2 linked regions of the Diceros bicornis minor genome follow. The protein of the gene in region 2 interacts with the protein of the main gene of each other region in a biochemical or structural test. Links are inferred from orthologs where the notes say so. Each region holds a gene or a part of one and is shown on either strand. Other genes may lie near its edges. The genes, in order: PKP1 and DSG1.

Region 1 (15,351 bases), on a different chromosome or scaffold from region 2:
GTCATCAGATGAAGCATCTCCTCCCTCCACGCCCCGCGCCTGCCCGCCTCCCTCTCACACCCTCTTCTCCGTGTGACAGGTGGGGAGTTCTCTGCCATGGAGGCAAGGAGTGAACAAGATGAATTCTGGAATGCTCTATAATTCCAAAAGCCAGTCCCTATGTCCAGTGGTGACTCTGATGATGACAGGTGTGGGCTGTAACTCTCCTGGTTGGCCAAGGCTTCCAGGCCCTTCCAGGCAGCTCCTGAAGGCACCCCCTAAGATCCATCTGCAATTGGGGTTCAGACTGCCCGATCCCCACCTTAAGCTGCTTTGCATGGCTTCTTGTGAGAATGAGGCTGCCATCACACCAGCGAGCACTGCTTCTCTGGCAAAAGGTAGCTGCACCTGGGGCCAAGGGTGTGCAGGAGGGGCGGAGTCCACAGATGGGACACACTTGAAGGCACCCCTTGCAGTGTGCCAGATAACCAAAGGGGTGCAGGTGGGAGGGGAGCTCTGCTCCTACCACAAAGGCGATTTTTCCCTCTCCTGACCCTGGGGTGTCTGGCTGGTAAATGCTACCCTCTGAAAGTGAAGTTTAGCAAGAACCCGGGGCTTCTCAGTGAGAGTAATGGTGATAGCCCTGACAGCTTTCTCCTCTCCACCTGATCCCTGGCTTGTCTGGAACTCACTTCCAGGAAGCCTGTCCTGGTGAGCTGGGCTGGGTCCCAGTGTGCTGCGGGTCTTCTCCGCATAGGGCACGGCCAGCTGCAGTCGGTTCTCCATCATGTATATGCCAGGCTCTGCCAGCTCGGGCTTCGGGTGCTCCCCCATGTGAGAATCATGACTCTTCTCTCCCCAGGGTCCTGGGCACAGGGCACTGCTCGGCTGGACTGGGCTCTCTGGCCCTTTTTGTTGACCAGTTCTCCCCTGCCCAACCTTCTCTGTGAAGGTTCTGTGATGCCTGTGCCTCGAGGCTCAATGGCCCCGTAAATGTAGAACAGGACACGGGTCCTTGAACTTCACTCAATCAGGCCCTCCTCCCACCTGAAAAAGTCCCTGGTGCATTGGGTCAACCAGGAAGAGAGAGGAGCTGAGTGCGGCTCTAGAACACCCAAGGCCGCCACCTTGAGGAGGGTTCTTGGTCCAGGGGTGGGAAGGGCAGATGATCCCAGCACCCAGCTCCCCCCACAGAATTACCCGCACCGTCCCAGCTGAGCATCTGCATCCCACTGTCCTCTCCAGAAGGGTGCGAAGGCCGTGAGCAAAGGATGGCGGCTTCTCAGTGAACCTGGCTGCCAGCCCAACTTCTGCATAGCCCCCGGGAGGCGTCTGCCCATCCACAAAACCCCAAGGTCAAAGAGCAAATGTCTCAGAAAGTACGCTGCTTTCTCTAGTATACAAGCAACACCAGCCGCTCTGTCCACACAGCCTGTCTCATCCTGTGCCAGTGTTTCAGGGTGTAAACCCATCTCAGAAACTCTACCACTTGGATGATCAGCGTCCCTGGATGCTGCTTCCCTTTGGTGTCTCAGACGATGCCCAATTCTCTCTTGTGTCATAGGGCAGCCCAAGCTTCCTCACGTACGAAAGCTTTGAAAATGGACAAGGCAGCTCCTTTGTTAAGAGACATGGAATTCGCTCTCCAACGAGGACAGGCAAACCTCTGCAGAGGTGACTCATCCTCTTCCACCCCCAAGGGTTCAAAGAGGTCACACCCACCACACCTGAAACATTCTCACTCTTCTTCTCAGCCAAACCCTCTCCCCGAATTCAAAACCTTGCACAAAGAGCAGCTTCTCCCAGAGATGACCCCACCCAGCTCCAGGCGCTCCGAACCCCCCAGCACAGCCTCGTCAGCACTCTGTCCAGCGGCTCAATGCACTCTGTGCTGGCTGGTGTGTTCCTTGAGTGTGGCTTCTGTACACTCTGTGTGTGTGCGTGTGTACACGCCCATGTGCCCTTCTCCCAGAAAGCAGGACCTGGATCTCCCCAGTCAGACTGGGAACTCTCTGAAGAAAGGGGTCGTCTGGATCCCCACCCCACTCTTGACCCCAGTTCTACAGGGAGAAGACCCTCAGGATATGGGCCTGCCTGACCGACAGGCTGCCCTTGGGGCAGAGGTCATCTGAAGGCCCTCTCCTCCACCCCACCCTCCCCCCAGATCCCTCTCCCTTGCTAGTCAGGAGGACCTGTCAGAGGGCAAGCTGCCCGAGAGGTTTCTCTATTGCTGAATCTGTCTCCTGTAGGCTGATGTCTCTTCTAGCTTCTTCTACACTTACATAAAGCCCATCTCTTCCTCAGCACAAAAAGGTGGAGAGAGGAAACTCATTATCTTACAGCCCTGAAAATGCCTTTACTTCACTCCCTGAAATCTCTTTCCCGTGTGTTGTCCAGTAAGGCTAGGCCCACAGCAGGAGGAATTCAAGTGAGATAATGAGAAGAACTGCCAGAAGACACTTCTGAGACAATCTACCTCTGAGATGTTCGGGGGGTGGCAGGAGCTGTGTCTGTGGGATGGCTGAGGTGCGCGGAGGGAGGAGAAAAGCCGACATCCTCCTGTTCCCCTCTGCCCAGGCCAGCTGGGAGACCAGGAATGTGCCTCCCCTGTCCTGGAGCTTCCACGAGCCCAAGGGGGCAGGAGTTCAGCACAGCCTCACTAGGCACTTTGGGGCGGCGCTTGCCCCTTTCCTGGGCACGTACACAGAACAGAAATGCCGAAACAAACTGGGCTGCTCGGGCCGCCTCCTCTTCTCCCTCAGCACATGTGACTGCCTCGGGCTCTGCCTGGCCGTGTTCCAGCCCAGCTCTGCCAGAGCCTGTGCCCTTTCTGATAATCTGTTCGCAGTCACCATCAAAACTAAGGACTGGGCAGAAGGTGAGAGCACCCTGGGGGGCCCGGGCAGTGGGTTAGTGTGGACAGGGCCAGAGAGGACTCAGTCACCCAGTGGGGTCCAGAGCAGAAAATCATCACCAGCAGCGACTACACCAGATGCCCGTCCGTGTGTGCACACACGTGTGTGTGCGTGTGAGAGATGTGTGCACACTACAGTGATCCTCACACTGGGTCCATGTGTGAGTGAAGGACGGGGACTAGAATGGCTGGCAGCCTTGGAAAGCCCTGGTGCCCACGCTGTCCCCCACATTAAGTCAGAACCTCCGGGGGCGGGATCCAGGCATTTGCATTTTTTAAATTCCCAGATGATTCTACTGCGTGACCGAGTTTGAGAACAGCGGCTCGGAAGATGTTTTTGGTGGATTAGGATGTTTACACGAGGGAAACTGGGGCGATGCGTCCCAAGGGACTGTGAGATCTGCAGGTTTGGGGCCCGGATCGCAGAGGTGGGGTTATACAATCTATTTCCAGAGAGCGTTCCCACCACCGAGCACCTGGGAGATGATCTAATCGACGTCTTACGCTTGCAGAGACGCAGGGAGAGGCAGCGACTTGCCCAGATCACACGCCAGCAGGCACTGGACCCAGACAGAACTCGAGTCTCCTGACACCAGGCTGGACTCCTGCCACAGCACAAGCTGCAAGGTGGGGTGTGTGCATGCATGTGTGCGGACACGTGTGCCTGGGTGTGGGCACGTGTGTATATGTGTGTGCCTACAAAGAACTCCACATGAGGGTTGCTAACATGCTCTTTTATTTTGTTCAAATATTACACACCTTCTAGGGCTCCTACCCCACTGTAGATATAGTTCCCAGATTTTTCAACCTAGAACAATTGGCTTATTGATAATTACAGTTTGGTGTGTGAGGAGAGCATTTTTTTAAAAATCTCTGCCAATGAGCTTTGCAAAGGAGCGGGATCCAGGGAAACGGCATTTGCTGTGGAACAGCCTGGAATACTCGACATTTTTGCACGTGTTGTAACAGGCCAACGGAAATTCTGGCTAAAACCTCAGCTTCAAGCCAAGATACATTGTAAAGAAACAAGAACCTGTTCATCGGCAGTTTAATTGGTACGTTTCGCTGCTGGGACAAGGTAAAGCACGAACACCTTTACCATTGCCCTCCCAGCTCTGGTCCCAAGAAAACAACCCAGAAGTGCTGTCTGCTCCCGGATGCAGGCGGGAAGGAGAGCAGAGCAGAGCCCCGCGCAGGCGCAGGCTCCTGCTGAGACAGCCCGCAGACACAGAGGGACCGGCACAGGTGGGGCCTCAGGCGGGACATCACCTGTGCACGGGCACAGCCAGCACCAGCTGCCCCCGGGGCCTCGAGCCACGTGTGCCCGTGAGGGACCAGAAGCACCTGCCCCAGCCCAGTGTGCCCCCACCCCTACCTCTGACCAGGGAGAAACACGGGCTTGGTCACTTTCATAAGGAAAGGGTACTGCTGAGAAGAAGGGAGGAGGAAGACTTCAGGCCAAGGCTGAAGATGAAGACCACAGTGAGGCCAGGAGGGACGAGATTTCCCTGGATTGAGCAGAGATAGGAGGAAGGACGCTGATCTCATTAAACTTAGTGTATCAGCGGGGACAGGGGAGGATGGGATCAGATGAGATTTGAGGGAAGCTTTGGGAAGGGACTCCAGGTGAAGTTATGAAGAGCCTGACTGTGGAGAAGGGTTTCCCTTTAGGCTGGACACCTGGTGCGACAGCCCTTTACCCCCTACAGGGCAGCTCATGAGCCCCGCAGGGACTTTCCCACCCTTCGGGAGCCGAGCGACCCCAGCAAAGATCTTTGGCTGAGCAGCCCATCCCCCTGGGTTCCCTCCTGCTCCCCACACAGTCTGAGATGACACCCTGATGCACACAGGGACCCTCTGGAAACACGGGGGCAATACTTAGGGGACAGTTCTGGAACAGATCCAGATGGGAAGGCAGGGTCAGAGCAGCCTCCTTCTGTGGGGTCTCCAGACCCCCAAGACCCCCTCCCTCCCTGGGGACTGCCTGACCAAGATGAGGCATCCGTCTCATCTGCTGAGTTTTAGGGAAGACATGGGTGAGACGAGCATTCAGTGCCAGGCTCCTTCCACAGGGCTCCTTCCTCCAGCCCTTGGGTGGCTCAACGCCCCCTCGCTGACAACACGGAAGAAGACCCTAGTGGGGTGGTCTCTGAGGACCTCAGGTGGCCGATTCCTGACTGTCCTTCACGGGGTACGAGGAGTAGCAGCTACTCTGCCAGGCAACCTGTGGAGTGTGGCTGACCTTCTTTGGGACAGGAGATCTTAATTAGAAGGCCCTGGACGGGATTCAGGGCCCAGGAATCAAAGACCCCAGAGAATCCGACTCTTCTCTCTTGGAGGAGCCTGAAGGAGAATTAGAGTCCATCCAGGGGGCCGAGGGGAACGGCCTGGGGTATAGCCCTTCCACAGCTTCCCACTCACCCATCCCAGGAACCAGAGCAGGTGCGTGGGATATCAACCAGCACGAGAAAGGGGGAGCCGAGGGAGTGCTTGGGTGGTTCTGATAAAGAGGAGCGGAATCTGATGAAAACAAAGCCAGACAAACCAGAAACACCAACTCCCAGTGACCTAACCACCTCTCCCAGCTAGGATGCCTCTGGGGAAACTGGCAGGGTGGGAACCTCGCCTGAGCTGAGGGTAGAGGGGCCACACCTACAGGGTTAGTCCTGGGAAAACCCCATTTCTGGAGAGGTCTGCATTAGCCTTCAGAGTCAGCCCTCGCCTGGTGGAAGCCCTTGGAGGAGCCTGTGGTGGACAATGGAGAGGAAGGGAAGGACACTCACACACGGCTGTCATGCACAAAGGGCAGGGCCAGAAACAGAGCACCCCATGACGATGGCATCCCCACAAGTCCGGGGGAGAAGTAGTGTTTGGGGCACCTGGGGCTGGTTTGAGATTTTTCTGGAGCTGTGAGCCCAGAGCTCACGCCTGGGATGGAGTGGGAAGGGACAGGTAAGTCTTGTGCAGAGACAACAGTGGGCTAGCTTGAGCTGTGACTGGGCTGTGGCCAGAAATGGGGGCACTTTGTCAACTCAAACTTCCAAAAAATGCCAATAAGCAGCTACCAAGGCACGGAATACGAGGGAAGGAGGCAAATGGCCTGGAGGCTGCGTGACCTTGAGTGGAAGCCTGGCAGGAGAGGGACCACAAGCCCGGACCAGGGCAAAGGCACACAGAGGTGCAAAGAGCTTCAGGACCAGGGTGCAGGGCAGTCCTGAGCCAGCCATTTTCTCTCCCTCAGCTCTCCACAGGGGCCACTCAGGGACGAGAGACAGAGAGAGACAGAGAGAGAGTCAGAGACAGAGAGAGAGAGACAGACAGACAGACAAGTAGCCAGAGGTAGAAAGTGTGAGCTGGTGTGTGTGTGAGTGTGCATGGTGGGGGAATGGGCAGGGGTCCATCTCCTGTGTCTCCTTCCTCCTTTCTACCGCCACACTTTCATGAGGGCTGGACTTCATCAATAAATCTCGGTTGACCTGTACTGGTTTGCCGTCTGCAGAGCCTTTCTTAACATTTTACTAAATTTAGCTAAATAAATAAACAGAAGGTTCACTAATTTGTGTGCAATTCTTACTGGGAAGCCTTTGTATTAAAGTATTTGGTCTAAAAATTCTCCACAAATGCCCCTGTTGGATATTGTACCTTCCTCCTTAAGTTTCGGTGTCCTGTCCCTTTCTCCTAGCCTCCCTAGTCGGGGACCTAACTGTGGGATGGGGATGGTGGTCACGCCTGGCACCAACATTGCACAAGTGCCCACCACAAGGGCTCAGCACTGGATCCTAGTGGGATTCCCAATGCTGCCAATCTCATTCTCTGCTGTCTCTGAAGACACTTGTTCCCACTTAAGGTGAGAGGAGAAGGGAGAACCTGGGAAACCGAATCTCCGCGTTAGCCACTGGGGAGAGAGGGCATCCCTGGGCCCCTTCCCTATCCTCAGGGGGCGCATCTGCCCTGGGGTGACCTTCCAGCCGGATCTGCCTCTTCCAGGTGTGAGGCTCCCCGCTAACGTGCTGCAGAGTTCCAAGGGCTTGTCCTGCTCCATGCCCGACCTCCCGGTCCTGCAGCACGGCCCTGAGCCTCACCCCTGTCTCAGTGACTCCCTCCCGGGCGGCAACCACGCTCTGGCCCCACCTGGACTGGGCGCCAGCTGCCTGCTGAAGGCGCAGTGGAACTCGGAGCCCAGGAAAGATGGGGCGGGTGTGGGTGGCCACTGGGCGAGCCCTGCGTCGCGGCCCCCAGGAGACCGGGGACAGGACAGCATGTGGAGGCTGTTGCCTGAGCAGGATCAGGGAGAGAAAGCCCTGAGCCAGGAGAACGGCTCGCGGGAGAAGCTCAGTCTCCCGGCGCGCAGGAGGAACGCTCCTGGAGGTGGATCCCCGCGGCGAGCCAGCCTTCGCGCCCACTGGCGCGCCCTGAGCTCTTGGAGCCCGCGCGCGGGTCGGGGGCCGCGGCCCCACTGGTCGGACCTTCGCGCACACCCTGCCTGGGGCCGGCATCCCCTCGCCTCCCTGCAGCCCCGGGACGCGCGCCCCGCGGTGCCCGCCGCCGGCCGTGGCGCGCCAGGGAGGGGCGCACGGAGCCTTTACCTCGGTTGGAGTGGCTCAGGGTGGACGACTGGGAAGACTTGGACTTCTGCCTCTTGACGGTCATCATCACCTGCTCCTGCACGCGCTGCCTGCCCGACGTGCCAGTCTTCATCTTTTGGTCCGACGGCAGGGCCAGTGTCGAGTTGTCCTGGTCCTGGAAGCATTCGTAGGCCAAGGCGGTCTTGAGCGGCGAGTGGTTCATAGTGGCGGAGGCGCGCGGGCGGGCCGGGGCGAGTGGGGCGGCGTGGGGTGCGGTGCGGCTGGCGGGCGGCGCGGAGTGGGTTATGGGAGCTGTCAGCGGCTCCCTATGGCCATAGAGTGAGTGGTCCGCGCGAAGTCCCGGGTGCTGCTGCTGGCGCCTCCGCCCTGGCTCGTCCCTCTGCTGCACTGGCGCGGCCTGCCCTCCGTCAGACTGGATATACCGCCCTGCCCTGCACCACCCCTCCGCTCAGGCGCGGGCTGCAGGGCCTGCCGCTGCGGGCGCGAGCGCTCCTGGGGGCAGGGCCGCGAATCCCGGGGGTGGGACGGCTGGCCTCCGCCTACTCTCTTCCTTTCTCTCCCTTCCCTCTCCCCACGACTTGCAGTAGGTGAGGCCGCGGGAGACGCCCCTCAGTCCTGTTCCTGCTTGCTCAGGAGAAAGTATGTGATCCACTCGGGAGCCGAGGGAGACCTCTCTCTCTAGGAAAAAGAAGTCTTTCTCCACTGGGCCCAGGACAGCCAGATGCCCGTCCCCCTCTGCCCCGGGGTCATGGCAGAGACCAGCCCTGTCTGTGGGGGCTCCCAGGCTGACGGCCGAAGCACAGCCCCTGTCCAAAGGAAGTGTTCTATCTTATGGGGACCACGTATTTACTCTAAGTCACCCTCCAACCTACAGGGAGTGGGGTGGGGGCATGAAGTGCACACCAAGGACGGACTTGAGACAGAAAACCACAAGCAGCACACCTGTCATGCATGGCTATGCCAGGGGAAAATGCCTGTGTACAGTGGATCCTCTCTGAAACTCCGGACTTAGCCCCTAAAACAGGTGCCTGGCATGTACGTTTTTAAGTTAGTGCCCATTGAGTTGATTCAACTCCTAGTGACCCTGTGGACAGCAGAGTGGGACCCTGCCTGGTCTTTTCACACCATTTTCTCCCCTTCTGGCGCCATATCAGACAATGCTCCACTGCTATTCACAGGGTTTTCATGGCCAATTTTTTCAGAAGTGAGTGGCCAGGTCTTAATCTGGAAGCTCTGCTGAAACCTGTCCACCATGGGCGACTCTGCTGGTATTTGAAATCACAGTGGCACAGCTTTCAGCATCACAGCCACACATAGCCACCACAGTATGACAACCCACAGATGGGGAGTTGTTTCCCTGACTGGGACATGAACCTGGGCTGCGGCGGTGAGAGTGCTAAATCTTAACCACGAGACCACCAGGGCTGGCTCTGGCACATATTAGGAGTTCAATGAAAAATATTTCTGAGTGGAAGAATGAGTGAAAGCTAGCTAATTTAAGGTAAATTAAGTCTAACTTGCATCCTACCCATATCCTGCGTGAAAAACTGGAAGGTGGCCTAGCCCGTAAAACTACCCCACTGCAGACTTAGTATTTTAGGACTTGTGTGTGTGTGTTCTCCCATAGCCCCCTCCCACCGGGAGGGGATACTTGTGTTGTGATGCTTCGCTCACGCAGCATCACCCTCAGGCATGGAGTGGCCCACACCAGGGAATTTGGTGTGTAACAGGAGCTGAGTATTTCTAAAACTATGTTGATGGAAATCTTGCTAAAAGACATCACTCTCTGCCTTTCCTCCGTAAGCAAAAGGTCCCAAACATATTTTATGCACTTCTTGATGATTCAGAGTTCCCTTTCTGGACATCCATCACTGAACTGCGTGACAGTGTGGTCCGGCCAGCTCCTCAGTCTTTGGGTCTCCTCCAGCTGTGGTATGCTTCCACAGCGTCACTTCCACTGTCATCTGTAGTCACCACTCACAGCCCACACATGTCACTGCTAGTTTGCCTTTCCGATACGCAGAGGATGGACCAACAGACATTATGTGAGGAAGGGTGGAGAAGCCTGAGTGACAGTCTCAGGGACCACACGAAGGTCACTTGCCCCCCTCCTGAGAAGGGAGTGTTATATGCAGGGAGCCCCAGCTTTTCTCCATGATGCATTCCTTTTAGCCACATTCAGAGCAGAATATTATAAAGCAGATCATAGTTTCCAATAGAAATAGTTTTATAATTGAGGGTTGTGTTCCTAGGAACTTAGCATCAAATAAACCAGAGATGTGATCAGCAATATGTCATAAGTACAAAAGTTCAACACCCCTAAACTTCTATCATCACTTAGAATGTTAAGATTCTGCTTCCAGCCACAGACTGTCCGGGCTGGACAGAGCCTTGCACATCACTCAGCCAGCCTCTGCGTTTTTCTGATGAGGAGAGGAGGTAGCTTGTGCGCGGTCACGCAGCTAATACGTGGCGAAGCCTCCATTCTAATCTGGCTGGATGACTCCTGGGCCAGTGCTCTTCCCTCCACACTAGCCAGCCTCCCTATAAAAGTCCTATAAAGTGGGCATTAAAGTGCAGTGCATACCCATTACGTAGGGCCCCAATATGCTATAAAGTGTTTATGACAGCACTAAAAATACACTCCATTGTATTGCACATCTGGCCTATCTAAGACCTAACATGCTAGCTACAATAAATGTTAATTATGTCTTTAAATAATGACAATTTTACCTTTAGGATGTAGAAGGGCTCTGAAGGAGGTAATTGGGGTATCTCATGTTGCTATAAAAAGCCATACTTAGTCCCTGGAAGCTGAAACTGATTATCTTTAAAATTGTTTCCAGAGATGAAGTTAGGTTTTTCTAGATGCTTCTCTATTATCTTGATATTGACAGTATTTTTATATGTTGGTAGCAATAGCAAACATTTGCTGGTGTCCTATGAGCACCACAACTACAAGCCAGGCACGGCCCTGGGCCGTTTATGTAGACCATCTCATCAAATCCGTACAATGATCCTCGGAGGTGGGTACCAGTGCCATCATCTTTCTTTTTCAGGAAACTGAGGCTCAGCGAGGTCACAGAGCTGGTAAGTGACAGAGACAGGGCCGAGCACAAGCAGCCTGGACCTGGAGACCGGGCACTCAGCGAGGTGCCAGGCTGCCTCCTCGTGATTTCCCTGTGACAAGCAGTGGCTCAGAGCCTTCCATGGATCATCCTTTAACAGCATCCGTTTCTGTCACTTGTCAGGAAAGTCAGGCCACCTGGGTTCCGGTTCCAGTTGTGTCGCTAACTAGCTTTATGATGTTAGACAAGTCCCCTCCTCTGTCCCCTGTGCCAAATCTGTGAAGAGAGGAGGTGGCTCTGATAGCTCCCCAAATCCTCTCTGGCCCTAACCCCCCAGAATTTGATGTCAATTATGGGATTTTCAGAGCAGATGATCTAGAAGCAGGTCCTCCGGACAACATTCTGTTTGTCCCTCCTCCCCCAACGCCAAAGTGAAGGGAAGCCTGGAAAGGACAGAGGGGTGCCCACCCCACAGAGTCGCGCTGTGCCCAGCAGCAGGCCCACTTTGCAGACGTTATTTTATCTAATCCTCCCAAACACCCCGAGAAGCTATTATTTTGCAGACAAGGAGACACACTTGGAAAGGGTAAGTCAGCGGTGAAGACAGATTTGAGCTGAGGTCTGGCTTCCCACTGGGAAGGAAAGGGAGGGGCATGGAGTGACCAATTCTGGGCCCAGGTGAGTAAGGTGTATTCAGGCCGGGAGGTTGGTTTGGGGTCAAGTGCATTGTCGTGAGCATAAATCCAGGACTTCTCCATCACCTCTCTCTTCCACCTGAGCCCCGCCTGGGGGCCCCTGCCTCAGAAAAGGGCCAGAGAGGAGGGTGACCCTCTGAAAGTGCAGAAGAGATGCCACAAGGCTCGTGGCAGCTGAGCTCTGAAACAGCATGCCTTCAGGTGACTCTCAGAACATGATTTAGATGATGGAAAATTCCAATGAGTGTGGGTTAATTTGCATTTAGAGGGTGGAGGTGGTCTGGGGAAAGCTTCCTGGACAAAGTTAACCTTGACTTGCTTCTGAAACAAGATGAGTAGATTTTCATCCTCAAAGACATCGGAATGGGTGAGTGTGAGCCGGGCTCCGATTCTCTTTGCTGCTGGCCCTGCAGCATTAACCGTGACCAGATGTCACTCAACACTCCAGGCTTGCAGTGCTCATGGCAGTAAAATGTCCGGTGACCTCGAGGTGCACTAGAAGCGGAATGGGGGTTCATTTATTCAACAAGCATTTACTGAGTGTCGGCTCTGAGCTAGGCCCTGTCCTAGGCACCGAGGATGCAGTGCCCTTATAGAGATGGGGAGGAGGGGATGCTGGGCCAGGTGGGAGGACTGACGGCTGAGAGGAGGGTTTGGGCTCCTGCTGCCTTTAGGAGTGATCGGGCTGAAGCTTCTCCTTGCTCAGTTTCCAGCCCCCAAGGTGAGGGGACCACCTCCACCTGAACCCCAAAGTGATGCAGACACCCCCAAGGAGCTGGGAGAGGTAACCTTCCTTTATGACCCCACCTTATTCAGCCCCATCCTTCTGCCTCTACCCCTGTTCCAGGCACCTGAGGGCTTCCCGGGCAGCAGCCATGGGGCCAGCTCCCTGCTCTCCAGCCTTTTCTAGCTGAGTTCCTTTGGTCAGCTAGCAGGCTCCTCAATGGCTGCCCAACTCCTTAACATTATAACCTCTCCTGATGAACCCCAGTGCCCCTTCCCCAATCTTTAACTAGCCTCCCTTATCATTTTCCCTATTAGCCCTCAGCGGCCCGCCCTGAGCGGATGCCTGCCTCTGCACCTTTGTGCACACGCTATTCCCTCCACGTGAGCACTCTGGGTCAGACACGTAAGTATGTCCCGAGTGCCTAAATGGGCTACATGCTGTGCCAGTCCCTGGGGATAAACAGGAGAAAAGCCTGGGTCCTGCTCTCACAAGGCTTACGTTCTAAGGGGGTGGACAGAGTAAACTTGTAAATGAGCTAGCAAAATTATACTCAGTGCCGTGAAGGAAGCCAGTGAGAGGCTGATGGAGAATACAGGGGGGCGACGTTCACCACGTGGTCAGAGAGGGCCGACAACTGGGACCTGGAACTCCAGCAGTAGCTGCCCATCAGGGGTGGGGGCAGGTGCTCCAGGCAGAGGAGACAGCGAGTGTGAAGGCCAAGAGCCTGGCCTGTCCTCGGAACCGACAGACCAGCATGGCCTGGGTACAGGGTAGGGGGGTGGTGCACACACGGTGGACACAGAGGCAGGTGGGCTGCACTGTCCTGTACAGCCTCTTGTGATCATGGAAATGTTCTGCATGTGCTGGCTATTTCAATCAGTTAGAATTAAGTGAAATAAGAAATTCAGTTCCTCAGACCCACCAGCCACATTTCAAATGCTCAAGAGCCAAGTCACCAGTGGCCACTATACAGGACAGCACAGGATCCCACGGGATCTTCTGGACCTCTGTCTGGGGCTTGAATTTTGTTCTAAGAGGAGTGAAGTTCCCTTGAGAGGACTTAAATAGAGGTGACAAGACACCCCTACCCCTGCCTTCCTGCTGCTTGTCGACATGTCAATCCTATTTATACTTGCTCAGCAATTCCCAGACTAAACTCAGCCCCTCGCCTGGGACCCCGTGTCACTGTTTTCTACCTGTGTTAGAGCCCTGGCCCTACGCCACCACCGTCACACGTCTACATGACCTTGAGCAGCCTGAGGGAGGGACGTATGCTGTTTACTTTCCGACCGTCCACATTACTGGTACGCATTGGGTGCTGGGTAAATGTTTATTTTGTTGAAGTGAGGCCACCCCCTCACTCTGAGGTCCATTGTACAGGGCCATTGTGTCTGGAAGGTACGGAGGGTGGAGGCTTCCAGCTGTGACGGGGAAGGGAAAATGGCAGAGCAGAGGCCACTCCCCAAGCCATTTGGCGACACCCTGATTGGAAGATGTGAGCATGTGACCATGGATCCCCCATCCGTGAGGGCAGGACTAGAGGGCTGGCCTGTGCCCTTGTGTTCCAGCCCTGCTCTGCTCTGGAAGGAGATGAGGTGGAAGGGCTGGCAGGGGGAGGAGCGAGAGCCGCGGGGTCGGGTGCACAGGCCCCGAGAGCCGGGCCTGGATGTGTCCCAGGCGGGCTGAGCCAGGCCAGCTGAGGGGAGAGGCAGGGTGTGCACCACGGGCTCCCCGAAACGCCAGAACTCTCTGAGCTGCCATTCTGGTCTCTCTGGGCAGTGTGGGTGGGGTGGTGGCCATGGAGGGAGGGAGGGAAGGTGATGAATAACAGCCAGCGACCCAGCCCAGCTGCTGTCAGCACTAGCTCTGGTCTGCGCCCGCGCCCTGCCAGCCCCAGATTCCAGCTCTGTCCTCCCGAGGCTGGCAGACCAGACCGGCCTTCCCATCTGCCCCTCCCCTGCAGCAGTGCTGTTTGGCAAACCCCGGGGGGGACTAGGGCTCCAGGCCTGAGCCCCAGCCACAGCATCCTGGGGGCCCCACAGCTCTCTGGGGGACCAAAAGCCACTGGAGCATAGACCCCAGGGCCTTCCCAGGGAGGTGGCCTGGAAAACAAGAACAGGGCTTTGAGTGAACCGACCAGGTTTGCACACCCTGGCTTTGCCACTGTAGGCTGTGCGACCTTGAACAAGCCCCTTAACTTCTCTGTCCCTCAGTTTCCTCCTTTGTAACATTGGGTGTGCTACACCTGCCCCACAGGGTTCTCGTGATCGTAAATACATAGAAAACACATTAAATGTCAGGCACAGGGCTGGTACACGATGGGAGCTTAATAACACACAGAACTCTCCCTCCTGCCGCAGCTCCTCCTGCCTCCCATCCGACTGCCCTCTGCTCTGCCTGCCTCACTGCTTGACGCCGTTATCCAGGCCCAGTTCTCCACGTGCGTCTCTCCTGCATCTCAGAGCCTCCAGCATTCCTCCTCTCTCCCGCTGCCCCGCCTCTCCTCCTGGCCTGGCCCCGCACTGTTGTCCTTGTTGTCTACAGGGTGGCTCTGTCATCACTGCCCTTGGACACTTTCGAACCTCAGAGGCGGAGGGGACCTCAGGGACCATCTGGTCTAGCCCCTTAATTTGTCACAAGAGGCAGCTGAGTGCAGAGAGGCACAGTGACGTGGCCTTGCAAAGGCCTGGGTGCCTGGGACCTGCCTCCCCCACCATGGGCACACGGGCCCCTCTCCCTTTGGGGGAGATTGAGGGTGGGAGACTGGATGACAAGCCTGAGACTTAAAGGGGTACCAAGGCAGGAGAGGAGCCCAGAAGGCCCTTCCTGGAGGGGCTGTTCTGCTGCCCCATGCTGGAAGAATCGCCAGCCCTGGGAGGTGGAGCAGAGCCCAGGGAGAGGCTGTGGAAGCCGCAAAACTGGCAGACGCTTGGGGCGTGTGCCCGAGAGCTGAGCAGGCCCTGCACTCTCTCCCTCTGTCTCACAGTCACCTGCCCAGCCCCGGTCCCAGCCCTGCACAGCCTAGATGGTAATTGGATGAGTCACCTGCAGACAGAGCAGTCACACCCAGGATAGCTGGCACCCCGGCGGTGGTTCTACTCAGAGCTGCTGGGCCGGCAGCCCGCCAGGCCACGATGGGCACTGGTGGGGAGCCAAGACGCCAAGAATATGCTGAGTGGCAGAGCTGCCTGTCTGCATTGCCCCATCTCCGTGGCCAGGGCCTCCTTCGGACAGCCCGGCCCAGGTGCCTTCTTATTATGACCAACAGCAAGCAGCAGGCCAGGCATCTCCCAGATTTGTGCTCAGGCTCTGGAGTTCAGGCTGCTCTGGAAGGTTCTCTAGTCTCCCACCGACTGGGCTTGAGTCGAGACACACAGCGGGT
Region 2 (15,000 bases):
TGAGAAGAGGCAGCGATTACAGGCCACTGAGCAGTCGAGTCTTCTGCATCGAATTGAGCACATCTCAGCTCTGTTGCTCACTGGATATGGGCATTGGGGTAAGCCAGAGATGAGGAGGCGCTGAACCAGAGCGGTGACAGTGGGAACAGACCAGGAAAGATCAAGGGAGAGAGACTATGCGGTTGAAATTGACAAGGCTTCAGAACAAACGGGATGTGGGAGTCAAGAGAGGGAAGAATCTCAGGTGATGGCAGTTTTCAACTGGGAGATTGGGAGCAAGGCAGTAGCAGAATTTAGCAGGTTAGAACACATCGAGTTTGAGATGCCAGGGAAACGCCCAGGTAAAGATAATCAGCAATTTGAACTATGTGTCAGCATGATGAATAATAGTTCAGGCCTGATATATAGATTTGAGGGACATCTGCTCAGGTAGGGTAGTTGAAATCATGGGAGAATTTGAAATCCCTAAGTAGAAAATACAGCAAAGAAATGGCCTGTGGTTGAGAATGAAACTAGGGGAATTCTTACATTTACATAACTGGGAACAATGACAATAAACAAGAAAGAAAAAAAGAGATAGAAAAGAAGTGCCCAGAGAAACAGGAGGAAAATATAATGCAATGTCATGGATGCCAAAGGGAGAGAGAATTGAAAGGTGGGGTGTGAACAGATGTCAGATGTTATAAAAATATTGAGCAGAGTGAATCCTGCGGAGATTCTGAGGTTTTCTGTGACCTTCAGGAAAATGCTTTCAGTTGGGTGGAACAGGCCCTTCCTGACTGAAAGGGATAGAGTAATAAGATGAAGAGGAAGAGTACATCCAGATGGTCGCTTTTTCAAGAAATTTGGTGATAAAAGGAAACAGAAAGATGTGATAGTAGAATTAGATGTAGTGTCCAAGGAAATATTTTGGGAGAGGGAAATGTGGATTTTTGAAGGTGGAGAAAGAGGAAAGCAGGAGATTTTGATTTGAAAGAGAAGAGGTTCAGAAAGAAAGTACTTGATGGAGGTGTTGTGATGGAGAGAGCAGGAGGGAATAAGCAGAAAGAAAGGACTTTGAAGGCAGAAGGGAAGGGAGAGAGGAAGGATGGAGATTAAAATCAATCGATTATCACAGGGAGGTTGAAGGACATTGTCCTTCATTATCTAGACCTTGCTCTAGAGTAAGGGTAAGGTTATTTTCTGGCAATTAAGGGAGTAGTTTGGATTCTGAAATAAGTTGGGAATATATGTTGTGGAGGCTGTGATGGAGATTCACTTAGAGATAATACAGGGGTTGTCAAGCTGACTGAGTACATCTCAGCTCTGTTGCTCACCACATATGGGCATTGGGGTAAGCCACATAGCCATTCTGTGCCTCCAATTCCTCATCTGTATTTGAGACTAAAGCCCTTTCTAATCTAAAAATTCTAAGAAAGCAGTGAATAATTTACTTGAAGTATATCCTCAATGAGTCCTCCCTTCATCTCTATTTTAGGAACTGATCCTCATATTAAAAAAGGAAAAAAAAAAAGCCACAGGACACAAAATTTCATGCTAATTTCAATGATTCTCTAACTATACTTGTTAGTTTTTTTATTTTTAGCTTTTTTTCTCTTGATATTGAGGTTTATATTTCTTTGCATATAATAAAAATTGTTTTAAAAGTGGTAATTTTTATAAGGAAAAACTCTTGCATTTAATAATTGTGAGGTGATCTTCCACAGTCACTTGGCAGTTTTTGTTAGGCATCAAATTCTAATGTATTTAACTGTTATATGCAACACAAAGACGAACTTGAGACAAAGCTAAAATATAATAGTTTGCTTTTTTTAAGAAACTTCCTCTTTTGTCTTTCCTTTATATTACTTGGACAAAAGCTATCAGTCTGGAGTTGACAGCACCTTGATAGGGTGATTTCTCTTATTTGTTCATTAGTTTGTTTGTTCATTTGACAAATACATATCTAATGTGTATTATGTGGATCCAACACTGGATGAAGACTTTTAAAGGGCTTAAGCCCCAAAAGTATTATGGTAAGCCTTAGATAAAATGTAAAGTAAATGTAATGCTACACCATAAAAATAAATGTTAGGGAAATTCAACATTATTATTTCCATGTTTAATACCTTGATTATTTTTTGGAGTGTGTGGGGAAGAAGAAATATAAACTATCCAAAAATTCTCCTCGGATGCCTCTACTTTGTTTGATTAGATGTCTATTGAGCAATCTTGCATTTGTGTAAGGCACTATGAAGGATTCAAAAGTGAATCAGACACAGAACCTGCCCGCATATAACTTATAGTTAAGTAGTTTTATGAGCAACAGGCAGCCATTAATTTGTGGAGATACGGTTTTTCATTAGACAAGTGTATAAGGCTGCACTCTATTCTTATAGACCAGTCGAGAGCCTGGATCAGCAGCCAATGGCATTTAAAAAAGTTTGACCTGCCTAAGTCCATTAAAGGAATTTGCATGCCAAGCAGAACCAGCAAGGGTGGTAGACCCAGCATTCCGTAAGGGTATTCCCTGATCCCTCATTGAAGGGAGCATCATAAATCTAACTGCATTGCCGAGCATGCTTCCAGCTTTTGTGTTAGGCAACGCCTGTCAGGACACAGGGATACTCAGCACCAAAGTCCTTGAAGAATGTATAGTGGAGAAAGAGTTATCTGAAATTAAATGCTCCAGGTATAGACAAGTGTCATTTTTCTTGATTCCTGAGCCTTGCTAAATAAGGGAATCTTGTCTCTTAGGGGCCAAGCCTTCAGATTTATCCAGACAGCATTTCCCAGTGCTTTAGGTTTTTCTATAACCTAAATCAGGCATGGCAAATTGTTTTTCCTCTGTGGCAACTCAAACCAATTAAATAATGATAAATTTGAACTCCCTATTTTCACAAAGGTGAAAGAAGATGCTGATTCTAAATCTGCAGTGAAATAATAAAGCTTTTAAGAATACCATATAAATGGAAATGATTTTGCTTAAATACAATTTATAAATTCTACTGAACAGGTAAACAGAAATACTCTTCCATTTTCTATAAAATATTTTACTGAGATGCTAATATTTGTCATATATGTCACTATAATATGTGCACAAGAAGGCATAAAACATCCTCTCTTTTGCTTGTCTTCTGTTTGGTCTGTACTAGTTTGCTAGTCCTTCCTTGCTTTAGGAATCAGTGAACACAATTATGAGAATTAAGATGTCCGGTTCAAATAAGTGAGTGCACTATGAAATAAAGTATATTTTATTTTCTATGTATTTTAGCCAGAGTGCTGAGAAATACTCTGAAAAACTCCTGCCTATAGCCTAAATAATTTCAGCTAAGTTCAAATCGTGGAGTTAGTTTATCAGGTGGTCAGAGGGGTTTTTTTGGAAAGGAAATATTAATCGTGGAAAAAAGAAAAGCTAGGCTGGTATGATGAACTAAAGAAATTGGATCATTCTTGGTAATAGATAAGGATAGGTTTATTTGTTCTTTGAGTGTAAGCTGCAGAAGTTGGCCTTAATAGAAAAAGATACATTGAGATTTGTATTTATTTGAGTTGACTAATAGATCTGGCAAAGTTGCAAGTAATTTTTAGAAATCAATAGAACTATAAAAATTCTACTGGTCGTATTTTGCTTTCCTACCATGACTAGGGCATACCTTATACCATTGTCACAACCATCTACAGAGATTTCTTATATTTGGTGCATAGGTAACATTGTTCTCTGGCCTAGAATACACTCTAACCCCTCCCCATCCCATATACCAATTTCATGGAAACAAACAAAAAAAAAAAGAAAAAAGAAAAAGAAATGCAGAATCAATAATATTTATTTGTCTTGCAATGTTATAAGAGGTGTAAACTATTGTCTATCCAGGACACTTGTCTAAATAATGGAATAGTCATGTGGCAATCTTGGTTGCTGTCAGAGCAGATTCTTCAGCCTTATTCTCCCTGATTTAACTCACTAATTTGAACAAGGTCTAAAACCTTCAGGTGTATTCAGCAGACCACGTAACATACTTGTAAATAGATGGCTGCCCATCTTGCAAATGGATTTGCATTAATAAAGACACTACCTGTTTAAATGTCTTAAAAGTCTTCAAGATTGTCCAAATATATTCCCTAATGTAGATTTTCACTTTGAGCAGAGAAGAATATAAAGACTTTACACAGATTTTTTTTCTTTTTTTTTAAAGCAAACATTCATAGTAAGGCTAGCAGAAAGGTAAGTGGGAGAGTTTGCTCTAGTGGTGGTTAATTTTCAGAATAAAAAAAAGTATTTTAAAGCAAAAATAGATCAGATGACTCCAAAGGATATTTATTCAAATCATCTGGTAAAATCAGTAGTAAAAATAAATTATTATTTTCCAAACCTCAGAAAGTAAAATGCTTTACAACAAAAGTTACAATAATGTGAAAATGAAACATTTTAATTTATAATAAAATAAGTTCTTTGAGAAATAATTTTCATAAGGCGTATGAGAAACTTGCCATTGATTCCAGAGTAAAATATGGCAACAAACAATCCACAAACAAAAAATATATCCAGACTTGGAAAATAAAGTACAAATGCCCAGAAACCTTTATACAAAAAGAGACGTTTCAATGAGGATGCATGATTTTGAAAAAATGATATATTTTACTGAAGAATGATTAATTAGAAAGTGGCTGTTTAAAGGAATTTTATGGGATGTAATTAATTGGAAATAATAATAGAATAAAGAAATAAAGTATTTTATAGATTCAGTGAAAGTACATAAGCATCTGAATAAACTTTAATCAATTGTAACTATAATAGGCCTTAATGGATCAAATTTATATGAAATTAAAAATAAAAGTATTTGATTATTTCGTAATACACAAATGCTCCTATGTTCAAATGATGTGCTGTATAATGCTCATGAATCCCTGCCACATCCCCAGTTATGATATCAACTGATCCTAAAGATCCATTAAAAAGTCCATGGAACAGGGCTAATGTTTGAAGGACAGCCTGGAACTAAAGCTACCAGCTTATTGATGCTTATTTATAACTAAACCTACTGGTTATGACCTCTCTCAATTAATAAACTGAATTCAAACTAACCAGCATACCTTGAATCAAAGAAGATCTAACTTGTTATTACAGAAACTCAACAATCCAGTTCAAAAATTAAGCATGTAGAAACAAATATAAACCACAGCACTACATCCTGCCAAATTGGAGAGCGATTAACAGGCACTTGCCTCCAAAGATTACATTAACCTTGCTGTGCGAGAGACTACGATTTAAAAATTTTCAACACAAGTGAAATTGATGCAACACAGTGGTGTTGCACTTAGTATTATCTCTAAAAAGACAAAACTAATGACGTACAAGGGGGACAATGAGAAAGCATTTCATTACATTTGTCTCACCATCAAATGTACAACTTGATATTTGTATCACCATCGTTACTGATTTTCCGGTAGTAAGAGCCAGTATCTTAATAATTATACTTACTCCTTAGTCATAGCCATTCCTTCACCTACTATATCATTTATAAATCTCCCATACCACCATTTTATTTGAAATAAAAAAATGTTGTTTTAATTAAAATCAGAGTTTAGCAATGTGGGACTTTCGATATTAGTGATATGGCTCTCAACTACATATGGAACCGATGAGATTGTTTGGATAGTGAGGCCAGTCACAAACTGCTATGATTTTAATTTATACGGATACTATTTTTATGTTTTAAAAATTACAGCAAATCTACCAGCAAAGATAACAAAAGAATGGAAAATTGGTTAGGTTAAAAATCAGGACACACCTGTGATATTATTAGTTTAAAAGCCCATCTGCAAAAAAGAATTTGAAAATCAAAGTGCCGTTAAGCAGTGATACGACTTTTCTTAATTCAATATTTTCCTGGCATGACTTAGCAATGACTTCCATGTCAGAGATGTGATACGATGAGTTAACACTGACGCATTAATATGATCTCGAGTCTTCAATTAAAGAGAGAAACACTATTTAAAAATCTAGTTCATAAAATCACCTCATCATTAACATAAACTTTTAATGGGTTTAGGCTAGAAATAACACTAAATAACATTTTCTAAAAAGTTCTCACTTGTTTACAATGTGAATGATTATGAAGGGTTTTTAACAGACTCCACTTACCAAGAAAACGAACAGCACTGCCGCTGTTCTGAAGAAGTGCCAGTCCATCGCTGCCGAGTTCTCTTACATCCAAGACCAAGGGAGTTTTGTTTGTTCTTCTCTGTTCTTTTTCTTTCCCCCACTCAGCTGGTGTCTGATTAAAATAATTTCTCAGTAGATGTTCTTACATGCAGGCTTTGAGGTGTTTCTGCCTTCTCTGGGAGAAGGACTGAAGGTACGTATAACCAGTCTAGATCCCCACCCTAAAAACTTGGGCTGGTCTCACTAAAATGCTTGACAAGATCATCATTGCTCCCAGGTAAAAGCTTAAGGACACACCCTTCCAGCTGAAAGGCAGCTCTCTGTGGGTCCTGAAAGATTCACTCCTTTACAGAAGGTTTTCAGTGACAGGCATTTAAAATGATCAGAATTATGGGGACTTACGCAATTGATAAGGACTTTTCACCTTATGCTTTTTTTACAGGTTGTTTGGCTTCTTCCCATATTAAAAAGGCAAGTGTAGTCAGGCTTATATTATTCAAAGGGGATTCTCCCGCCCATGCTCAGAGCCAGACCCTCAGGTCACAGTAGAAAATTACAAACTTTCCATTTCAGTGGATGTTAGGAACTAGTCAGTTATTTTCGAAGTTGTTTAAGAGACAGAAAATTTGCTAATGTTAAGAGTGAGGATTTTTTTTATTTTTTTATTTTTATTTTTATTTTTTTTAATTTTTTGTTTATTGCAGTAACATTGGTTTATAACATTGTAAAAATTTCAGGTGTACATCATTGTACTTCTATTTCTGCATAGATTACATCATGTTCACCACCAAAATACTAATTACAACCCATCACCACACACATGTACCGAATTATCCCTTTCACCCTCCTCCCTCCCCCCTTCCCCTCTGGTAACCACCAATCCAATCTCTGTCCCTATGTTTGTTTATTGTTGTTATTATCTACTACTTAATGAAGGAAATCATACAGTATTTGACCTTCTCCCTCTGACTTATTTCACTTTGCATTATACCCTCAATGTCCATCCATGATGTCACAAATGGCTGGATTTCATCGTTTCTTATGGCTGAGTAGTATCCATTGTGTATATAGCATTAATTCAAACAAGCAAAACTATGATACTTACAATTATAAGGTCCTCTGTACAAGTCACGATTCCCTTTAAGTGATCAGCCTAAGACCAGGGAAGCCTCTACTTCTCTAAATGAGTATCTTCTCTCCCCAATTATTTTTCTCTCTTTAAAGTTCTGCTCTTTGCAAAATCAGTAAAACAAAATTTAAAATATCACCAAGCCAGATGAAAAGTAAACAATCAAAACCACCAATTAAAATCCTGTTAATAGTTTTTAAAATGAGGATCAATGCCTGAAATACTAATGGAAACCAGAAAGCTGCTCTTCAGGTGAGGTGGGTTAAAAGTCAATGACAATTCCCAAGTACAGAGCCAAGAATCTGGATAGTGAGCCAATTAGAACATGGGGAACACACTGAAGAGATGGCTGCCCACACATGCAAATGACAAACTGAGCAGCCCTGAGGTTTGTGAAAATAAATAGTGACTCTTACAAGGCAGCATTTGAAAGTGTTCTTGGGATATCATCTCTTCACTTGGCAATGTCTGGTATAAATATTGTGAGTGGCAGGAAGTCTATGGAGTTGGAAATGGCAGTCTGGAATAAGAGACCAATCTGATAAGAGGTTGATTATGGTCAAAAGGATGCTTAAAATGACCCAGAAAGGAAGGATATCTCTGAAGGTCAGAGGTTCTACAGAATGCTGTCATTTTACTACAGGTGTGTGGCAAAGGTTACTCAACAGTAGTTTGAAATTTCACGCCGTACATAATGGAGGTTAGAGGGAAGTAGATAGGCTGCCTATATTTACTTGCAATGAATAAGAATGCTTATGATAGGAATTGGTTGATGTGAATAAGTAAAACAAAAGGAGATGGTCAGGCCAAATTTCTCATGAGTCAAGTAAGACAGAATGTGAGTGTGATCCTATGACTTATTTTGAGCAATATATTAGTATAAGATTGTATGACTGTGAATGACTGAAGACTCATTGGGCACCAGAGATGAAAGAACCTACTCTTGGAGCTTTCCAGTGGCAAGTGAATGTTTATCCCCCTTGAGTTCTAGGTATGGCGCTAGGGTGTGCACAGGCCCTCTTCATCCATTGAATGACTCTTCCTCAAGCCTGACCTTGGTTCCACCCCTAACTCAATGGCCTGCTCCAACCATCCTAACCAACTAGAGCATTCCTTAGTCAGCAACTTCTCCAGCACGTTTCTGGAGAGGAGGTGTGGCAGAATCCCAATGTTGCAGAGCAGTGGCTGTCTTGACTGTCACATGAGAACTAGTGACATTAAGCACAAGTGGGAAATGGAGTTTATGAATCACCATTCTTTCTTCTTAACCTCTTTTCTTGCCTTTTTCTCTTTCTTAATCATTTTATTGTCCTGTTCTGAAATGTGGAAATGTTCTCTATTTGTGTTTTCCAATATGGTAGCCACTAACCATATGTGGCTATTGAGAATTGACTACTAATATGGCTGAGGAACAGAATTTTTAACTTTATTTAATTTTAGTTAATTTAAATTTAAATAACTACATTTGACCAGTGATTACCATATTGCACAGTGCTTTTATTATCTTCTATCTTTTTCTGCGCCTTAACTCCTTCTGTTCTTTATAAATTCAACTCCCTTTAATTAAATCTATCCTGTTCCATTTCTCAACTGAGGGAACTCGAGCTTTGTTCCAGTTTCCAGCTGGCACCTTTTGAGTCTCTTTCCTTTATGTACTCCTATTATCTCAGTTGGCCCAGTGCCTTTTCCTGACACCTTACTGATCCTCTGTCCTAATGCCCATGAGTTATTTTAAAACATGGGCAACACAAACCCCTCTCATTTCTATATTTACATTTTCTCAATTCTTTCTTCCAGCCACCTAATCTGTAACCTCACACCACACTGTCGCATCACTGTGCTATACAAGGTTGCTTCTTCTATCTGGTATCACTGCACTCTGTTTCTTCTCTGAACATTGTTTCGTGTGTGTACCTCCACGTATTACCAACAGTTCTCATTTCGTGGAAATTTTATGAAATTTGGGTTGATTTTTCTGTTTGGAAGTTCCCTGGTAAGCTGAAATTTTCTCAAAAGGATCAAAACTCCCCTGAGAAAGGATTTTCCTCTCTCTCATAAGGCACTGTAAACTCTAGAATGTCACCCCCAGTGTCTATATTTCTATATTTGTGTACAGCTTGGGATACTGTAATATCTTCTTGAAAGACAAAATAATCAGCATCTTTCACTAAAGGTGGTGGATTCCACTGATCTAGAATTTTTTAAGCCTAATTAAGATAACTGACTATTCTATATTCCTTCATTTACACAGCACCCACAGCCTAGACTCTCATATTTCAGAGAAATCCTTTGAAATAAGCTTTTATGTTATATGTGAATCTCTGGTTTCATATCTCTGTTGAAATTACCATAATCAGCGCTGCAAATTCTTTAAAAAATAAATAAAACATAAAAGTAAATCCTAAAATAGAGAAGAAATTGAAGTAAATATGTTAAGGATAATATAAACAAAAATTTTTGTCTTTGCTTCTATATTAGTGTTCCTATGGCATGTATTGATTCTAGATCTTGCTCACACTGTTTAAAATCAGACTATTCCTCAATGAGTCACATAAAAAAGTGGAGGGGATGGAGGCTGCTGTTTTAGATTAAAAGACACTTTTCCTTTAATATATAACAATCAGATGCAATGCCTGATCCTTAACTGGATTCCTGATTTAAACAAAACAGCAATAGAAATAATTTTGGGGTTATTTGGAGAAATTTAAATATGGGCTGTTAGGGAATTATTATCAATTTTATTATGTTACATAGTAATATGTCTTTTCTTTTTGGTGAGGAAGATTAGCCCTGAGCTAACATCCATTGCCAATCTTCCTCTTTTCCCTGAGGAAGATTGGCCCTGGGCTAACATCCGTGCCCATTTTCCTCTATTTTATATGGGACGCCGCCATACCATGGCTTGACAAGCAGTGCATCGGTCCGCCCCTGGGATCCTAACCTGTGAACCCAGTGCCACCGAATCAGAATGTGCAAACTTAACCGCTATGCCACGGGGCCGGCCCCATAATATGTCTTTCTTTTTGAAGATACATGTCAAAATATGTAGGGGCAAAATCTCATGGTGACAGAAATTTTCTTTATGGTAACTCAGCAATAAAATAGATGAAGTACATAAGGCAAAATGTTAACAATTGTTAAGTCTGATAGTATATGGTTTTCTCTTTGCTTTTCTGTATATGTAAGAATTTTCTTAATGAAATTTAAAATAATGGACTAAAGTAGGGGTTGGCAAATTATAGCCATGGGCCAAATATGGCCCACTGCATTTTTTGTTATTTTACTGGAACACAACCATACTCATTTGCTTATGTATTGTCTATGGCTACTTCCTCTCTACAACAGCAGAGCTGAGTAGTTACGACAGAGACCACGTGGCCTGCAAAGCCTAAAATAATTACTTATCTGGCCCTTTACAGAAAAAGTATGCTGACCTCTGCATTAGATGAATAGATTATAGTTTGTAATAGTAAATTAGTTGATCTTAGGAGAGTCTACAAGATTGATCTAAAGAGTGTGAACAGAAATCATGATGACTAAAAGTAACCCATAAAATTAAAGCAATTAATCACTGAGGGAAAGATACATCTTTATAATCAAATTATATTTTTAGTTTTATATTTTCAGAAAGACTTTGTTTAATTGGCTGGATTAATCTATGGCCTAACTCTTTTTCCTTTCTTTTAAACCAGATCTAAGGAAAACTTTAATTTTATTTTTCTCTAGTCAATTCTAGATTGACAGTTCAACAGCATCACAACTGTATGTACTTTTCTCTACATAGAAAGAATATTCATGAGTAGGGGAAAATCTTAAATGATTTTGGGAACCTTGGATTCTATCTTAATACTTAAATATTTTATGATAAAATAAGAGTGATGAAAGAGACTAAATTATTATTGTCTGTTCTTTTAAAAAATTAAAAAATAATTCTAATTGAGCATCTACTGCAGGTGCATTATTCTGCTAGGTGCTGTGGAACATTCAAAATACTTTTGAACTCAGCCCTTAAAGAGGTTACATTGTAGCTGCAAACATACTGAAATAGAAGTATTACTACTCCCTTCTGGAAGACTGTCCTACTCACACGTCTGTGTGTATTAGCCAACACCCCAGTGTACTCTTTGGATTTCATCTGCAAATTCAGTCCTTCCTTTTACTTATAATAAATTATCATCAATTCAGTACTACACCAGTTTTTTCTTTGGCCTACTATATGCCTTGCCCTTTACCAGGTACTGGAGTTACAAAGGTGGATACACCACGGTCCTTGCCTTCAAGTGGCTCCAGGCTAGCTGGAATGAGAAAGAACAGACTTTTTTTCCAACCTGCTAAATGGAAGCCTGCATAGAGTGCTTGGGAACCCATAGCCCAGTTTTGTCGGAGGTGATGTCAGAGAAATCTTATAATGTTAAAGGGAACACTTTTATGACATAATAGAATTGATTTCTAAAACGCTTGTTTTCTTCTTTTCTTTGTAGCTTACCTAAGTCAACTCATGTTGTGCTTTCAAATTTATCTTCATTTTTTGGTTAGGAAGATTAGCCCTGAGCTAACATCCGCTGCCAATCTTCCTCTTTTTGCTGAGGAAGATTGGTCCTGAGCTAACATCTGTGCCCATCGTCCTCTGTTTTATATGTGGGATGCCTGCCATAGCATGGCTTGATGAGCAGTGCATAGGTCTGTGCCCAGGATCTGAACCTGCAAACCTGTGAACCCTGGGCTGTTGAAGTGGAGTGCGCAAACTTAACCACTACACCACCGGGCCGGCCCCCTCTGTCTTCATTTCTGCTGCTGTGGATCCATCCTCTCCAGGCCCTCTTCACCTGGCATTGCTGTGCCACTCTTCTAATTGCACCTCTGCACTCTTCTCTTTTAATCCACTTTATAGTCATTTTCCAGAATAATGTTTCTGAAACATTGCTTTCCTTATGTCATGCATCTCCTCAAGAAATCACAATAACTCCATATTTCCTCCCAGATCAAAAGGTCTTTATATTGCAACCGCTCAGTGACAAATTTATGTCTCTCGGTGATTTACTGTCTCTGGTGGAAATAAGAAGCAATCACCTCCACAGTCTTAAGATTTTCTACCATTGTCTTTCATATTTGAAGACATCTTCATATTTGAAGATGATACCAATATGTTTCAGGGTAATATATTGAATGATATTTGTCTAGAATATTTTCCATTTAGGGGTGTGTGTATAGTCGATAAGCAGGTAAAAAGATCATTTTCAGAAACCGTTATGGACTGCGGTTTTCAAATTTCAGTACCATCAACATTTTTTGAGCCCTGCTGGGGTATGTGCTATTTGTCAGGAGAGATAAAAATAGGTAATAGAAGTTTCTGTCTTTAAGAAAGCTATAATCTTAACCTGATCTCAAAGGAGTGATGAGGCCTGTCTCTACTACAAGGCACATTGATGTATGTGCTATAGGAAAGGCCTATAGCGTTTTATGAACCCTGCAAAAGGGAAATAATTTCCACATTAAGGGAATTGGAGAACATGTCACGGAAGAGGTAGATTTTGAAATTTTCGGGATGACTACACTCTCAACAAATGAAGGTATAGATGGGAAAGAAGGCAGAAAGGAATATGTGTTTATCAGGCCAAAAAAGGAATCAGTTTGGACCTGAGTGTACTGTTTGTGAGAGGTAGCAGGGCTAGTGAGTTAATAGAATGTGGAGGACTTTGAATGCCCTGCTGAGGAATTTGGATGATATTCTATGGCAGACAAAGAACCCCTGTGGAATTTCCAGCAAGCTATGGACCTAGTCAAAGTTGTGCTTTAGGAATTTGTCCTGGAAGCTTTGTGATGTATGGATAGAGAAGAGACAGTTGAGAGAGAAAGATGAATTTGGAGGCCACCATTATTTTTTAGGTAATGAACCTGAAATAGTGTGGTTTCAGTGGGAAGGAAAAAGGAGATAGAAGTGTGATGGAGGTAAAATAGACAGTACCAGATGGCAGATTCGATGTGGGTGGAGGAATAGGGTGATGGGGGATGGAGGGAAACACCTCCTTCCTTTTGAAATTAGGTGCAATGGAAGAAAAAGGAATCTATCTGAGGTTTTGCTGTAAGAACTGATCAGTTTTTAACATTTTGTTTATGCTTTGTTTTTCTCTTTTTCTACTTAAAAAAATTCAAATCTCCATCCAGATTTACAATTTCTTAACATTTTGCCACATTAACTCTCTCTTTATGTACACATACTTTTTGGGGGTATATTTTGAATAATTTGAAAGTAAGTTGCATATATCATGACACTTCATTCCTAAATACTACTGTCTGTATCTCCTAATAACAAAGACTTCTCCTGTAGCATCATAGTTTCAGTGTCTTTGAAGCAAAAATCATCAAAAAGGATAATGATGCTAATGAGCTATGACACATTGAATAAAAAAGAATACATGTGTCCACAGTGTTCCTCAAAAGGGTGCTGATGGAGACTAAGCTCTTCTTTTTAGAAGAGCTAGCTATATAGCTAGCTAATAAATATAGAAAAAAATAGTAAAATTAGAAACTTTTAATATCGTACCCAGTGACGTAATAACTGATTCCAGTAAAGGTCACCAATGGGTGTTAATACTATTGAGTGAAGTTTTGTTTGAAAACCAGGCATCGTCTCTCATCAATTGATCAAACTAAGCACTGCCAATACTGGGACAAGCTGACAATATGCGCCTCCTTGCATGATGCAATAAAAACTATACAGTGTCACCCATGCAGTATTCTTACTCAAAATTTTAACCTGCATCTTTGAATGAGAAAACAAGAAAAAAATCTCAATTTTGAAATATTCTATATTAAAGTGGTCTGCATCCTTCAAAAATGTTAATGTTATGATAAACAAAATATAGTGGGGGATTGTCTTAATTAAAGGAAATTAAAGAGACATCAAAACTAAACACAGTGTTTGAGTCTTAGGATCATAGAACATCCAATGGCAATGAAGAATAGCAATAGAGGACGATTTATGGGCTTATTGAAAAAATTTGATTCGGGGCATTTTAAATTCTAGACAATATCATGTTTTCTTTTCTTTTTTTTTTTCGTGAGGAAGATCAGCCCTGAGCTAACATTCGATGCCAATCCTCCTCTTTTTTTGCTGAGGAAGACTGGCCCTGGGCTAACATCATGCCCATCTTCCTCTACTTTATGTGGGACGCCGCCACAGCATGGCTTGACAAGCAGTGCGTTGGTGCGCGCCCAGGATCCAAACCTGTGAACCCTCAGGCCACGGAAGCGGAGCACAAGCAATTAACCGCTGCGCCACTGGGCCAGCCCCAACAATATCATGTTTTAAATGTGCATTTTTCTAAATATGTTTAGCACCAAGGTACAGAAAACAAAAAGCAAAAGTAGCATTATAAATTATTGATAAAATAAAGTTTAATTGAAGGCAAAATTTTTAAAAGACTATAATTAAATATGGTGAAGATGTACTTGTCATGAATATTTTTGCATCAAGTAGAACAGCATAACATGCTCAAAGGAAAAAAATGAAGGAGAAATAGAATGAAGAGACTTTCATTTATCTCATTAGTCATTGACAGACTATAAAAATATGATTCTGAAAACAAATTAGACAAACGCAACAAAAACAGAAAGCTACAACAACAACAAAACCAAATGGAACAATCTTATTCACTAATATAATTGCTGAAATTTGAAATAATATATTGACATATGAATTTGGGGAGCACATTAAAAGAATAAG

Evidence for each region.
Region 1: the proteins of DSG1 (region 2) and PKP1 form a complex in vitro, tested with the Homo sapiens proteins (2 studies listed by BioGRID and IntAct). The link is inferred for Diceros bicornis minor from reciprocal best matches to the Homo sapiens genes DSG1 and PKP1.

The regions. Positions count from the first base shown.
Region 1 is NC_080777.1:29,558,984-29,574,334, reverse strand, and holds the start of PKP1 (plakophilin-1), read right to left. Parts: upstream 7,921-15,351; 5' UTR 7,682-7,920; coding exon 7,480-7,681; intron 1-7,479. UniProt on the Homo sapiens protein: A component of desmosome cell-cell junctions which are required for positive regulation of cellular adhesion.
Region 2 is NC_080755.1:25,924,456-25,939,455, reverse strand, and holds the start of DSG1 (desmoglein-1), read right to left. Parts: upstream 6,177-15,000; 5' UTR 6,173-6,176; coding exon 6,125-6,172; intron 1-6,124. UniProt on the Homo sapiens protein: Component of intercellular desmosome junctions. Involved in the interaction of plaque proteins and intermediate filaments mediating cell-cell adhesion.